Linked DNA regions of Drosophila melanogaster. The protein of the gene in region 2 purifies or fractionates together with the protein of the main gene of each other region. This does not show direct contact. Each region holds a gene or a part of one and is shown on either strand. Other genes may lie near its edges.

Region 1 (7,776 bases), on a different chromosome or scaffold from region 2:
ACCACACGAGTGCCAGCAGTTTGCCAGTACGCTAAGAAGCTAGCTACCCTCGTGGGTACGAACTTGCACTCTATTCCGCAAAACGCGCTCGAAAAGAAGTTTTATTATCTATAATTGGATATAATTTAGAATGGAGTATTAATCCTTACTAAGAGGCCATATATGAAACTAGCCCAGACATTTATACTTTTTCAATACTTTCTTACTTTTGCTAAGCACTTCAGCATTTATGACTAAATATTTTGTATTTGAAATGCATTACTGCTCTTTTTTCAAACAAAAGCAAAATTGAGGATTAAGATTCTGGTATTTAAGCATAAGACCAGAGGAAATTCCCAAACAAACATTTAAAGTTATCTATCAAGACATGTTCATTAATTTGGAATATAATTACTTTATTTTTTATTGTATATTTTAGTTTATGTAAAGAAAAATTACATACATCCATGTTTGCTTACTTAACCACACATTCATGGCTGCTTATATTCGTGAAACATATTTTATTAATTATACAGGTATTTAACTTTCACAAGGATAATACAATTTCATAGCTTGTTGAGTATACTGAAATGCTACGGAGTTCGATATATTTTAATGTGTTTGTATTTACAAAATTCTAAATTTTCATTTTGGATAAATGTTTTATATTAATCGTATCGATTGCAAGTTGGGGTAGGATTGAGTTCAGTGATAATATCGATTATTTATAATTTAATATCCAAACACCGACTACTATGATACAGAAGCCCATATCTACTCAGACCTTGACTCCAAAGAAGCGAACAAAATTAGCAAGTCTTTTAAATCGCTTTCCTTGGATTGTCGTCTAGGCTTAAAATGCAAATGCGTTCGTTCACTATAGCGATTAATTTAACGATAATTACTCGTTGGTGTATATACAATTCAATGAAACTTTTGATTTTAGACATATTATTTAGGATTAGGTGTATATTGTATAAAGGGTGGTAGAAAAGCTTTGGTGCTTTTGTGTAATCCAATTTCATACCACGCTTGGTTTCGACCATCGTATGGATTAATTCTCTTTGGAATTACTTCTTCTTTTTGTTTTTTAGAATTATGTCAGGCTTTAACGAGTTAATCAGGGATCAAGCCGATGTTTCGTTCGGTTCCATCCAGCCCTCGCTGTCGTCTTCGCTATCCGAATCCTCGGACTCGGATAATTCGATAGCCACACGTCTGGCCAAGATTGAAGCCACATCCAATGGCGCCGCGTTTCGTTCAATTTCCTTTTGCTCTGACTTTTCAACTTTACGTAGAGTAATACCTGGAAAGATTAATTTGATGATATTTTTGCATTCGAACCTTGAATGGCAATTACTTACCATCTCGAATGGCCTTCATCAAGTCGTTGCGTGGGTCATGGAATGGAGGCAGCATCTTCTTGGGTGCGACAATGTGAGGCACACCATTTTGTTGGCCGGGCTGCTGCATTTCGCCATTGGCCAGTGATTTGGGAAGAATTTGATGCGGGCGCAGCGTGTGTTGGTTGCCACTGCCCATGCCTTCCTCGACTGGAGGCGGTGGCGGCGGCGGTGGTGGCGCGGCATTAGGTGGCGACATCTTAGGCGAGTGCTGTAAGGTTTTGCCACAAATTAAACCAAATTGTGATATATTAACACCCATCAGTGAACAACAAACCTGATCTGGAACCGGCGGCGGTGGCGGCAAGTCGCTAAGGGAGTTCAGTTGATTGCCCGTCATACCGATGCTGTGGAAAGTATTGCTCAGTTGCGTCATGACCATATCATTGGCATTCTGGACGCTGTTGGGAGATCCAGCTCCCGACGAACTGTTCGCCCGGCCAAGCAGTTTGGCCGCCATATGCCCGCTGTTGACTCCGTTCATGCCAGACATTGGTGAAATGACGTCTGGAACTGGTGGAGGCGGTGGCAAGGCATCCCGACTGGTCGACATACTTCTGCCCCTTGTCGGAGTGTTGGCATTGGAGGCTGTGGGCGTACCACCACCGCTGCCATTCGATGGCGGAGCCGGTGGCGGCTGCGACGGACGCGGTTTGTTACGCGACGGTGTTCCCGGTCCGTAGATGGGCTCCGGCGACATCACTCCCTGTCCAGTTTGGCCGTACAGCGCATGCGACTGATACATTCCGGCGTCATACATCTGCTGATGCTGCATGTGCATCTGCTGGGGGCCACCCATGCCGTTGCCGAAGGTGGCAGCATACTGATTACCCATCTGCGGTGGAAGCTGCTCGTAGGTGCTACCATCGATCTGCTCCGACTGATAGCTTCGGTTCAATTCGATCGAGTTAGGACGTGGCGGACGTGTATCGTACACTCCCATATCTAGAATAATGAATGTGAGATATTAGAGCCGTTGACTAACCACCCATTAAAATGAACGTTTTTACAGGACACACATCTCATTTAAAAACACGCCAATTATTTTGTAATTACAGCCGAGGAACAATAAGACACATATGTAATTACAAGCAATTCCAAATTTCTGTGCATATGAGACCGCTGGACTCGAATAGAAATTTTGTTGAATATACAAACATCCGATTAAAAGTCTTTGTTAGCTCGTTGCACAGAAAACAATTTAGAGATACTTTCGTAGAATAAGATGTGGCGACAGAAAGGAATTAGTAAAGCTGCAGAGTGACATGTAGACGTAGATATGGAAATTGACTGAACTACAACAGAAAGATAGGAGGATCCTAAACAAAAACTGCGGCTCAATCACGAATCGCGAGTATGAAATGAATTAAAGTATTATGCAAAATGCAAGATGCATTGTAAATATAATGTGCACACACATTACATTAAAATTGCAAGTTAGAAGGTGACTAGTTTACAGTGTTTTGAGATAATAAATCTGCACTTTGCATGACCAATGAAACTCATAAATCATCGCCATTCCGATTGATAGTTTGAAAAAGAGAGTGTTCTCTGTACACACAAATGCTAAAGGAACTCAAAAAGGATTGCTAGTAAGGTAATATGGGGATAGAAGCGAGTGAAAGAACATATATAGTCTTTACTGAGCTTGCTAAAAGTGGATGTGGATGTCTAACCTGCAATCGCAACGGCGGTTTGCTTGGTGACATTACTGTTATTCTCCAAATGCGAAAGCATATTATAAGGCTTTACTGTATCTGTAAATGAGATGGTTATGCGCGATTGATCCATTCGTAATTGCAATGCATATTTATGTTCACGTTCATTAATATCATAACCGAAAACAACGAAAGAGTAGTTCATAAAAACAACATGCAAATAAATAAAAGCTGCGAAAAATAATCGACCATTCGGAGAATGAAATTGTAAGGTTCTCTGACCGTATTGTATTTACCATCAACAAGACGAACTTCATTGGAACAAAGTCAGTGAATTCAAATTAGAGACAAATCAAGTTCGAAAGTCTTGCTAACTTACAGGAGGATGAACTAGACTGGCCATAGACCATTTTGCTAATGGTGTAATAATAATGAATTAGATCGAATATATCCTGTATCTGAGATTTTAATCAAACTTTAGATGGAATTTATGTTAAGTACCATTTCATTTATTTTTTAAGCTCTGGAAACTTTGTTTCGGTCACCTTTCTCTGGGTCATGATTGTGTGGGTTAATTTCAATTAATAGCAACTTCAAAATAATACAAATTAGTGATCTTCGAACTGGGTTTTGAGGCGCATCGAAAACTAGCGAGCTTTTGAGTGAAGTAGGTGAATGAATGGCGGGTACATCTGTATCGTGGGATGTCTGCCGGGCGGAAATGAAAGCTACGTGGCCCCATCATCGTACCTACGTCTTGGATATTACCGACAACTTGGTGGTGCGCATCGAGAGTGCTATGCCGCAAATCGATGTCAGCCTCGCCCACAGTCTGTATTTTGACTAGCTGAACTACACGGGCAGACAGGACATAATTGATAATTAAAATAGATGTACCATTCAATAGGCAAGACAAGTGCAAATAGTCAGTGCGCGAAACGAACGTACCAATAACAGCCTATGAATTTGGTTCGCACTGAATACTTGGCTCACACGGAGACCAATCCCTTTCGCCAAGTACTTACTTCCGTATCCGGCTTCTTCGTTGACCATGGAATTCGGTGTGCGGTAGATGACGTTGTTGGGCATCAATGTTTCGCCGTGCACCAGTGCACGTTGTCGCTGCTGTTCGCGCGTATTGTGCGGCACCCTTATTTTGGTCTTCTGTTTCTTATTGCCACGTCCAGCAGCTCCGCCGGCACCGCCATCCTGCCGCGGTCTGTTCAGCTTCTTGCCCTTGTCGTGCATCACACGTTCGGTATCCTTCAGCATCTCCTGTCGCCACAACTCAAAGAAGTAGTTCGGATCCGTGTAGAACTTAAGACCATCCTTGCCATCGTCTCGATAGACATTAAGCTTGTCGAGGGGCGGCGGTTTGTCGCACTGGGCATATGTGTCCATCATTGGTGCCGGCATGGTGGCGCGCGAGAAGATCTGTTGATCAAAAACCTTGGCCGACTTGAAGGCCTTCTTTCGGGTAATGTCCGTCAAGGGCACCTCCTCAACTGTGCTGTCCAGCTGGGTAACTTTGATAGCTAGGCGATCGATGCGCGCCTGCAGGGAGTTAGCTCGATCCCCGATGTTGCCCACGTCGCGGGCCAGTTCACCGAACACATCCTCTGCGTGCTTGGACAGCGAGGACAGCTGGCGAATGATGTTCGTCAGCGTGGTGTTGGTGACCGTCTCCAGCTCCACGGATTGCAGCTCATCCTGCTGATACACGGAGCGGGCCACATGCACGGGTTCTATGGATCGTTTGGGCAGCGGCATGGTCGGGCGCGATTGACAATTATCTCCAAATTGGCAAACCCGTAAATTAGTGCGTCCTCATCGACTGAAAACGGCATTAATAAGTAATAAATTGTTTTAATACGAATTAATGCATTTAAAATTAATTAAATATAAAACCCTTTATTTACTGATTTACTACATAATCTCATGCCAAATTGGGATCAATAATAAAAAGATTTCTTTTTATGCTGATTATCAATTGAAGACATTTCATTCCGATAAAATTGTACTTCCCAAATTGTCGTTTAACTTTGTTTATAAATTTTCCCGTAAAAGTAGACGTTTAAAAAGTTAATTGGATACTATCAAAATTGGTTTAAAAGAAATTTTGTCATCACTATACTAAACCGTCTATGAACAAGACTCAGAATGGTATTGCAGAAGATTTCACGAGACGCTTATCCATGTATCCATGAGACGTGTTCATTACAATCACCAAAATGCCATTTGAATTGTTTTGTGATATGCGCGACTGACGAACTCGACGTCTGGACCACACCCCACGAAACGATACCCACAGCGAGGTGATAAGGGCGTAACGCCCAAGTCACCCCCGCAAGATGCACCTTGCAGTCCCGGCGAGATTAGTCGATAATGCCCCCCTTTTCGGTGGCAGTTTCTGGGTGCTACGACCTGGGGCCTTTACGTGGGCACCTATTCCATACGTGCATATACGTATATCGTCGGCGGCCTCCCACCAACGCAAATTAGACCGTCACGCACTCACACACACGCATGAACCGCAGCAGCAGCAGCACCCAAGTAAATGTACATACATATGTGTGGGACGGAACGGCTGACTCTTTCAGATTTTCGCACTGAAACATTCGCACTAAATCGCAACAATGCACACACAAAGGTATCTCTCACACTTTCTAATCGTAGTGGCTGCTGCGATTTTGATTTTGGTTTTGAACGGCGCAGCTTAGTTTTACACAGTCCACCTCACTTTACAGCATATCGTACACTCACCGCCCGTCACACTTTTCGTTTGGCGGCTGGCACCACAACAAACATTAAGCAGCCACTTCCGTTTCGGGGGTTCGGTGGCAAATTCGATCCGATGCGAACTCTAATTAGCCAATTTGGGGCTTGAAAACTGCAAATATTTGCTCGTTTTGTGGAAACTAAGATTTCCACACCTTTGCAGTGTGACCGAAGCTTTGTGGTTCGAAAATACTGCAGGGATTCATCATTTCGGAAAATCAGACAAATATACTGCACGATGCGGTGGGGAAAAAGTTATTTTTATATTAAATGTAATATGTATTTTAATTACTATATTTAAATAAATTTTGCAAGGGAATTTTCAGTAACTCATTTCATATTGTTTATTTACTGTATAGAATGAAATATTTTAAATATAAATATATATTCAATTTATTTTATTTTATTTTAACTCTATATTATCCATAATAAGCTATTTTATTAACGTTATTTAAAATTACTGTTTGCAGTTTCTTCCATTAACTTTAGAAATGTATATTTGGTATTTTTGGTATTTATCCGCCGATCGATAACTAGTGCTCCAGCCCTGGCCCCAATGCATAACATCTCTGTTTCGTCGCACACTGAATAGGTAAGTTTTCCGCACATTTCGTTGATTTCCTCTTGTATAATTCCAACTGCTTGCAGAACCAAATTGAAAAGATGGCGAGTTTGGCTACCAAGGGATCAGGACTTGTGAACAGTGAGTGTCGTGAATCGAATGCAATCGAATGGATACACCACCATTGGCGCCTGTCAATCGCAAAATTATGTAATGATCACTTTTTGCAGGGCTCCTCACACAGGCGAGGCCCCAACTGGACGTGTTCCTGAAGTACGCCAAGGTGGAACTGACGCCCCCGACGCCCGCCGATATTCCGGCCATTCGCCAAGGACTGGGCAACATCATCAAGGGAGCCAAGACCGGCGCCTACAAGAACCTCACGGTTCGCGAGGCCTGGCTTAACACCCTGGTGACCGCCGAGGTCATCTTCTGGTTCTACATCGGCGAGTGCATCGGCAAGCGTCACATTGTAGGCTACAATGTCTAAGCTTACTATAGTCTCCGCTTGGCAGTCACTGGAATGGGCAACGTAATCCCTAACAGATGTGTATATTTATATGTCTGCGAACATTTCGACTCTGAATAAAGTGAAATAGTAATTTAAAATTCCGAAAATTTTCGAAAAATACATTGTTTTTTGAAAACCGTTAGAACGTTTGCGCGGGATTTGTGTAAGCTAAAGATGAGGTGATGTAAAACCAAGTTTGGAATTAAAAGTTGACGATATTTAATGATAAAAATTAAAAAAATATATGTAATGTTATACATCAAATGTTTATGAAACGGTGTCGTAATCAAAGAGGCTAATGGTTCAGAAATACATAATATACTTAGAGCATTTAAAAGCACTCAAGAATAATTTTATTTAAAAAAAAAAATAAATAAATCTAAATTTGCTTTTCATAGATAATTCATTTACACATTTTTTTAAACAAAGTAAAGTAAGATGTATTGAATTATTTTATTTATAAATAACGTTTTTTATTTGAATCTTGAAAAGCATTAATATTATTATTATTATACTTATATTTTTTAACAACAAAACTTTTGTAGACAGAGTAAATTTTTGTAATCTAACTGCGGTCACACTTTACTTTAGTTACCTTCCGATCGGAAGAAGAACCCGGCTGACATTAGGAATAGGAACTTGGCAGAACTTTCCCAGGATCTGTCAGAATGGCCTACAAGAAGCGCCTACAATCGCAGAACCTCGTGCATCTGCTGCAGAACCGCGAGTCCGGATACACCAACGTGGGCCAACAGCCGGGCAGGATGCCGCTGTTGGCCTACGAGCGTCTCTTCTACAAGTGCATCACGCCTTGCCTGACAATTGACTCGATTACCATTCCGCCGATCTACCTGCGCAAGTTTACGCCGGATGGCAGAAAACTGT
Region 2 (4,935 bases):
GGAGCCTTTCAATATATATAGCCTATCTGAAGATAAGCGCCTCTTTAATATCCAAGAATATAGGAGGTAATGGAAGCTCAAAGAAGCTGGGGTCGGAAAAATCGAATTTTTGAAATTTGAAAGCTGGAATCGTTTGCCCATTTTTTGCCCATGTTTGCCCACCAATTAGTTTTTTTTGCCCACGTCCAGTTTTTGAGATATGAATTTTCGAAAAAGTTCGAAAATTTTCGAAAATCAAAAATTTCGCTTTTTTCAAATTTTTTTTTTTTAAATCGCAATAACATCGTTTGCCCACGTTTGCCCACCCTTTAGAATTTTGAAAAAATTTATACTTTAGAAAATATAAGGCTTTTAAGTTTACCTCGGTCTAATCAGAGAGTAAATCGTTTGCCCATCTCTTAAAACCAAATATTATCAACAAAAAACGTTTGCCCAACCATTATTATTAGTTTTTATCGTTTGCCCACCCTTTAAAAAACCTTTAACAAAAATTTTTTTTCGATTGCCCACACTTGAAATACAACTAATTTCGTTAGCCCACCTCTTCAAAATAAAACTTTTCAATAAAAAACGTTTTCCCACCATTTAAAAATAAATAATTTCGATTGCCCACCTTTTAAAACTAAATAATTTCGTTTGCCCATCCTTTAAAATTCATTTTTAACGTTTGCCCACCCTTTAAAATTTGTTTTTTTCGTTTGCCCACCTCTTAAAAATGGTTTTTTCGATTTTTCACCTATTAAAACTAAATTTGTACATATGTACATATGTAATAATTGTAAGATGTGGCGCCAAAAGCACAGTTACTTACAAAAGAACAGTTATTTACATATTTACATACATTTTCAATATATCCATAGTGTTAATCATTCATGAATTGTAACATCAATTTTTCTTAATCATTGTTTCATTTCATGGAAAATATTTTATTCCAGAATTTTCTTGAGCTTGGAGAGTGTTGATAAACATACATACATTTTTTTGCATATATATTATATTGCAATATAAAATATTTTCCATGAAATGAAACAATGATTAAGAAAAATTGATGTTACAATTCATGAATGATTAACACTATGGATATATTGAAAATGTATGTAAATATGTAAATAACTGTTCTTTTGTAAGTAACTGTGCTTTTGGCGCCACATCTTACAATTATTACATATGTACATATGTACAAATTTAGTTTTAATAGGTGAAAAATCGAAAAAACCATTTTTAAGAGGTGGGCAAACGAAAAAAACAAATTTTAAAGGGTGGGCAAACGTTAAAAATGAATTTTAAAGGATGGGCAAACGAAATTATTTAGTTTTAAAAGGTGGGCAATCGAAATTATTTATTTTTAAATGGTGGGAAAACGTTTTTTATTGAAAAGTTTTATTTTGAAGAGGTGGGCTAACGAAATTAGTTGTATTTCAAGTGTGGGCAATCGAAAAAAAATTTTTGTTAAAGGTTTTTTAAAGGGTGGGCAAACGATAAAAACTAATAATAATGGTTGGGCAAACGTTTTTTGTTGATAATATTTGGTTTTAAGAGATGGGCAAACGATTTACTCTCTGATTAGACCGAGGTAAACTTAAAAGCCTTATATTTTCTAAAGTATAAATTTTTTCAAAATTCTAAAGGGTGGGCAAACGTGGGCAAACGATGTTATTGCGATTTAAAAAAAAAAAATTTGAAAAAAGCGAAATTTTTGATTTTCGAAAATTTTCGAACTTTTTCGAAAATTCATATCTCAAAAACTGGACGTGGGCAAAAAAAACTAATTGGTGGGCAAACATGGGCAAAAAATGGGCAAACGATTCCAGCTTTCAAATTTCAAAAATTCGATTTTTCCGACCCCAGCTTCTTTGAGCTGGTAATGGACACCTTAATGATTCTGATCAAGCTAAACTACGAATTTGTTTTGATTTTTAGCTATAGGTATACATTCATACTCCTCAAACAAGCAGAACTATGTATTTGTTGCTTATAGGAACCCCCTGTTTTATCAATGAAATACGACTTCTTATCTGAAGATATAGCCCCTCTAAATCCAGGAAAAACTCACCCATAGCTCGGTGCCCCAACTCATGTTGTTGGAGTTTTGCGCTGAGTTTTCCGATTCGGCCAGTTTGTTGTTGCTGCTGCTTCTGCTCGATCCGCTTGCCACTGTATTTGTTGTTGCCGTCGTTGTTGTTGTTGTTTTAATAATAATAATCCACAGAAGATAATGTAATCCACAGACGATGAGGAGAGAGGGAGAAAGGTAGAAAGCGAGGGAGAAGAGCAAAAGATGAGAACTTTTATTCGTTTTTGTTTTATATTTTCCCGCAAAGGTTAATTAATTTTATGGCTGCTTTTTCGTTTTCATTTTCCGTTTGTTTTTCTATATTTTTTTCAGCGTTGCGCGGCGCGATGTTTAATTTTCTATGAAAGAGAGCAATTCGAGTCAGATATATTTCATTTTTGTTTTTTTTTTTTTCGGTGGTTGGGCAGGTAAGAAAGCATGTAAAAACAAAAAAGAGTGGCAATGCAGACGTGTCAGTTGCAGCGGCAGGTAGAAAAATGAAGTTGAAGGAAATTATAGATAATGAGAATTTAAACACTTTTTTTGGGAGTTGTTTAGTGATAAGTGCAAAATAAGAAAATTCTATGCACTGGCATTTCGATGCGCAAAGAGAGTGAGGAGAGAGAGGGAGCGATAGAGATAGAGAGCGATGCAACTGCATTTCATAATTGAGAAAAGCAGAAAGAGAGGACAATTGGAATTCTACTATTGTTGTATTTACATAATTTCGCACACACACGCACACAAGTAAACGCAATTGCCGAATGCACGCACTCTGCTTCTAGATCTGCCACCGTTTTTTTTTTTGTTATTTGTGCTAACTTTTTTTTTAGCATTTGCTTTGCAGTTGCAACTTCTTTCGATTTTGGGTTTTATTTAGCGCCTGCACTTTCGCATGCGTCATAATTCGGGCGACATTTGCACACACACACAAGCACACAGTTAAAACACCCGCACTCACACAACGCAAGCATTTGTTTCTCCTTTTTGGCGTGCGAAAAAACAATTTTATCCGCTCGCAACTTTCCGCTCGTTTTTTCACTTCGGCATCAATACACAGTGTGACCGCAATGTGTTTGAATAGGCACACCTCTGCGTTTGCAGTGTGACCAGAGACCGATGGCGACCTAATTTCTAACTCTTTAACATCTAGCGGGGATATGAACCCATATTGAGAGCAACTGTAAAGTTTAATTATTATTATATAAAATATATGAAACTTTCGTTAATACGTGCCCCCATTTTTTTTTATAATTTAACGTTAATTGTAGACTTTTTAAATATATTATTGTGGCCTTGAAAACTAATAATTTTATGGAATAACATAACGTTGAAACAGATGAAGAAAGCTATTATTGAGCTTGGAAGAAACTTCTTATTATTGTTTATTGCTTTTAAAGTAACAAGAGCATCGCTTATTGTTGTATATAATATATTAATTTGAACATTAAATTCACTGGAGCAATAGATTTTGGCACACTGTAAGGTGTAAGCATGTGCGCCAGGCGCTAGATCATTTTTAGTACTTTCCTTGCATCAGCTGTTAACACTATCAGCTGGTGGGTCAACAATTACATTAGATTTACTAACTTTTTAATGAATTAAAACTTGAGAGAAACAACGTTAATATAAGAAATTAAATTCCTTACCAGCTCATACAATTCACCGGTCACAATGCCTTCTTACGAACTAGCACTGGTGCTCCGCCAATTGCCTCGCGTGAGTAGCACATGAAATCCACCGGCAGTTACATAAAAGTAAATAAGAATTGTACACCGCCCGCAGCCCGAACTGATTTCCGTGATTAGGCGAACGGCCGAGTCCATCCTGGACAAGGGCGGCATTATCCGGAAGCTGGAGAACCTGGGATCCCGCGCCCTGCCCCACAAAGTCAGCGAACACGGGGTGGTTCACCGGGAAGGCACCCACTTCACCATCGCCTTTGATACGGCGCCCACTAAGATCGCAGACTTGAAGGAGGAGTTTGGCCGCGACATCGACATCATACGGCGCTACATCTTCAAGGTGGAGGAGCCCGAGCAGAAGCCCTGCACGCTGCACGAGGAGATGCTGCCACCCGCGTATCGCAAGGATGTGCAGGAGATCATTGCGGCCGCCCAGAAGAAGCAAAAGAAGAAGTTCAACTACAACTCCGGCCTGGACTACTATCCCTTCCAAAAATAAAACACCAAATAAAACGCGTTAATTATGTATGCTAAAACCGGTTGTGGGTTCCTCGATCTTTGGCTAATTCAAACTGAAGCATTCCTTATGAAATGCGCCTGTTATCTTAGTACTTTTCACAATGTTTGTCTTTGTTTGGTTTATGGCGCCCAATCGGACGCTTATCAATTAATTGATAAAGCTCCGTATAATCGACCATCAATAGAACGTAAATTGTCCAGGTAGTGCCTCAAGAATCGTCGAGCAGTTCACTAGTACTTCCTCCTGACCGCAAACGACCTAGAAATGTCACCGCAAATCCGTCCACTTACGCCAGAGCTGCAAAAAGTTGCCAAGGAGCAGCTCAAGGAGGATCCCGAACGTCTCGAAGCCGATCTGCAGGCGTTTAAGACATGGATCGAGCAGCAGCCGCATCTAAATCCCCGAATGGATGATCAGTTTCTGGTGGCTTTCTTGCGCGGCTGCAAGTACAGTTTGGAGCGGGCCAAGTCCAAGTTAGATAAGTACTACACGCTGAAGACCAAGTATCCGGACTATTTCCGAGTTACCAACACCACGGATAGCAAGTTCCGGGAGATTCATCAAACGGGGTAAGGATTTTGACGCCAGCTAACTAATTTAATTTATCAATGCAATTCTGTCAATTCAGTGCCATCATCTACCTGCCCACTCCGCTGAATGAAAATGGACCTCGCATC

Evidence for each region.
Region 1: the proteins of Cip4 (region 2) and SCAR purify together in Drosophila melanogaster (affinity purification with western blotting, with the first as the bait; 2 studies listed by BioGRID). This does not show direct contact.

Annotation. Positions count from the first base shown.
Region 1 is NT_033779.5:10,974,996-10,982,771, reverse strand, and holds SCAR (SCAR), read right to left. Parts: upstream 6,001-7,776; 5' UTR 5,702-6,000; intron 4,875-5,701; 5' UTR 4,811-4,874; coding exon 4,066-4,810; intron 3,893-4,065; coding exon 3,791-3,892; intron 3,140-3,790; coding exon 3,059-3,139; intron 2,328-3,058; coding exon 1,660-2,327; intron 1,594-1,659; coding exon 1,344-1,593; intron 1,286-1,343; coding exon 1,107-1,285; coding exon of another isoform or gene 1,050-1,106; 3' UTR 377-1,049; downstream 1-376. Other genes in the region: piwi (P-element induced wimpy testis), read left to right, coding at 1-114; ATPsynG (ATP synthase, subunit G), read left to right, coding at 6,482-6,521, 6,611-6,870; abo (abnormal oocyte), read left to right, coding at 7,560-7,776.
Region 2 is NT_037436.4:4,360,974-4,365,908, forward strand, and holds the start of Cip4 (Cdc42-interacting protein 4), read right to left. Parts: upstream 3,002-4,935; 5' UTR 2,890-3,001; coding exon 2,775-2,889; intron 2,155-2,774; coding exon 2,054-2,154; intron 1-2,053. Other genes in the region: mRpS6 (mitochondrial ribosomal protein S6), read left to right, coding at 3,728-3,772, 3,839-4,237; CG33514 (uncharacterized protein), read left to right, coding at 4,523-4,827, 4,887-4,935.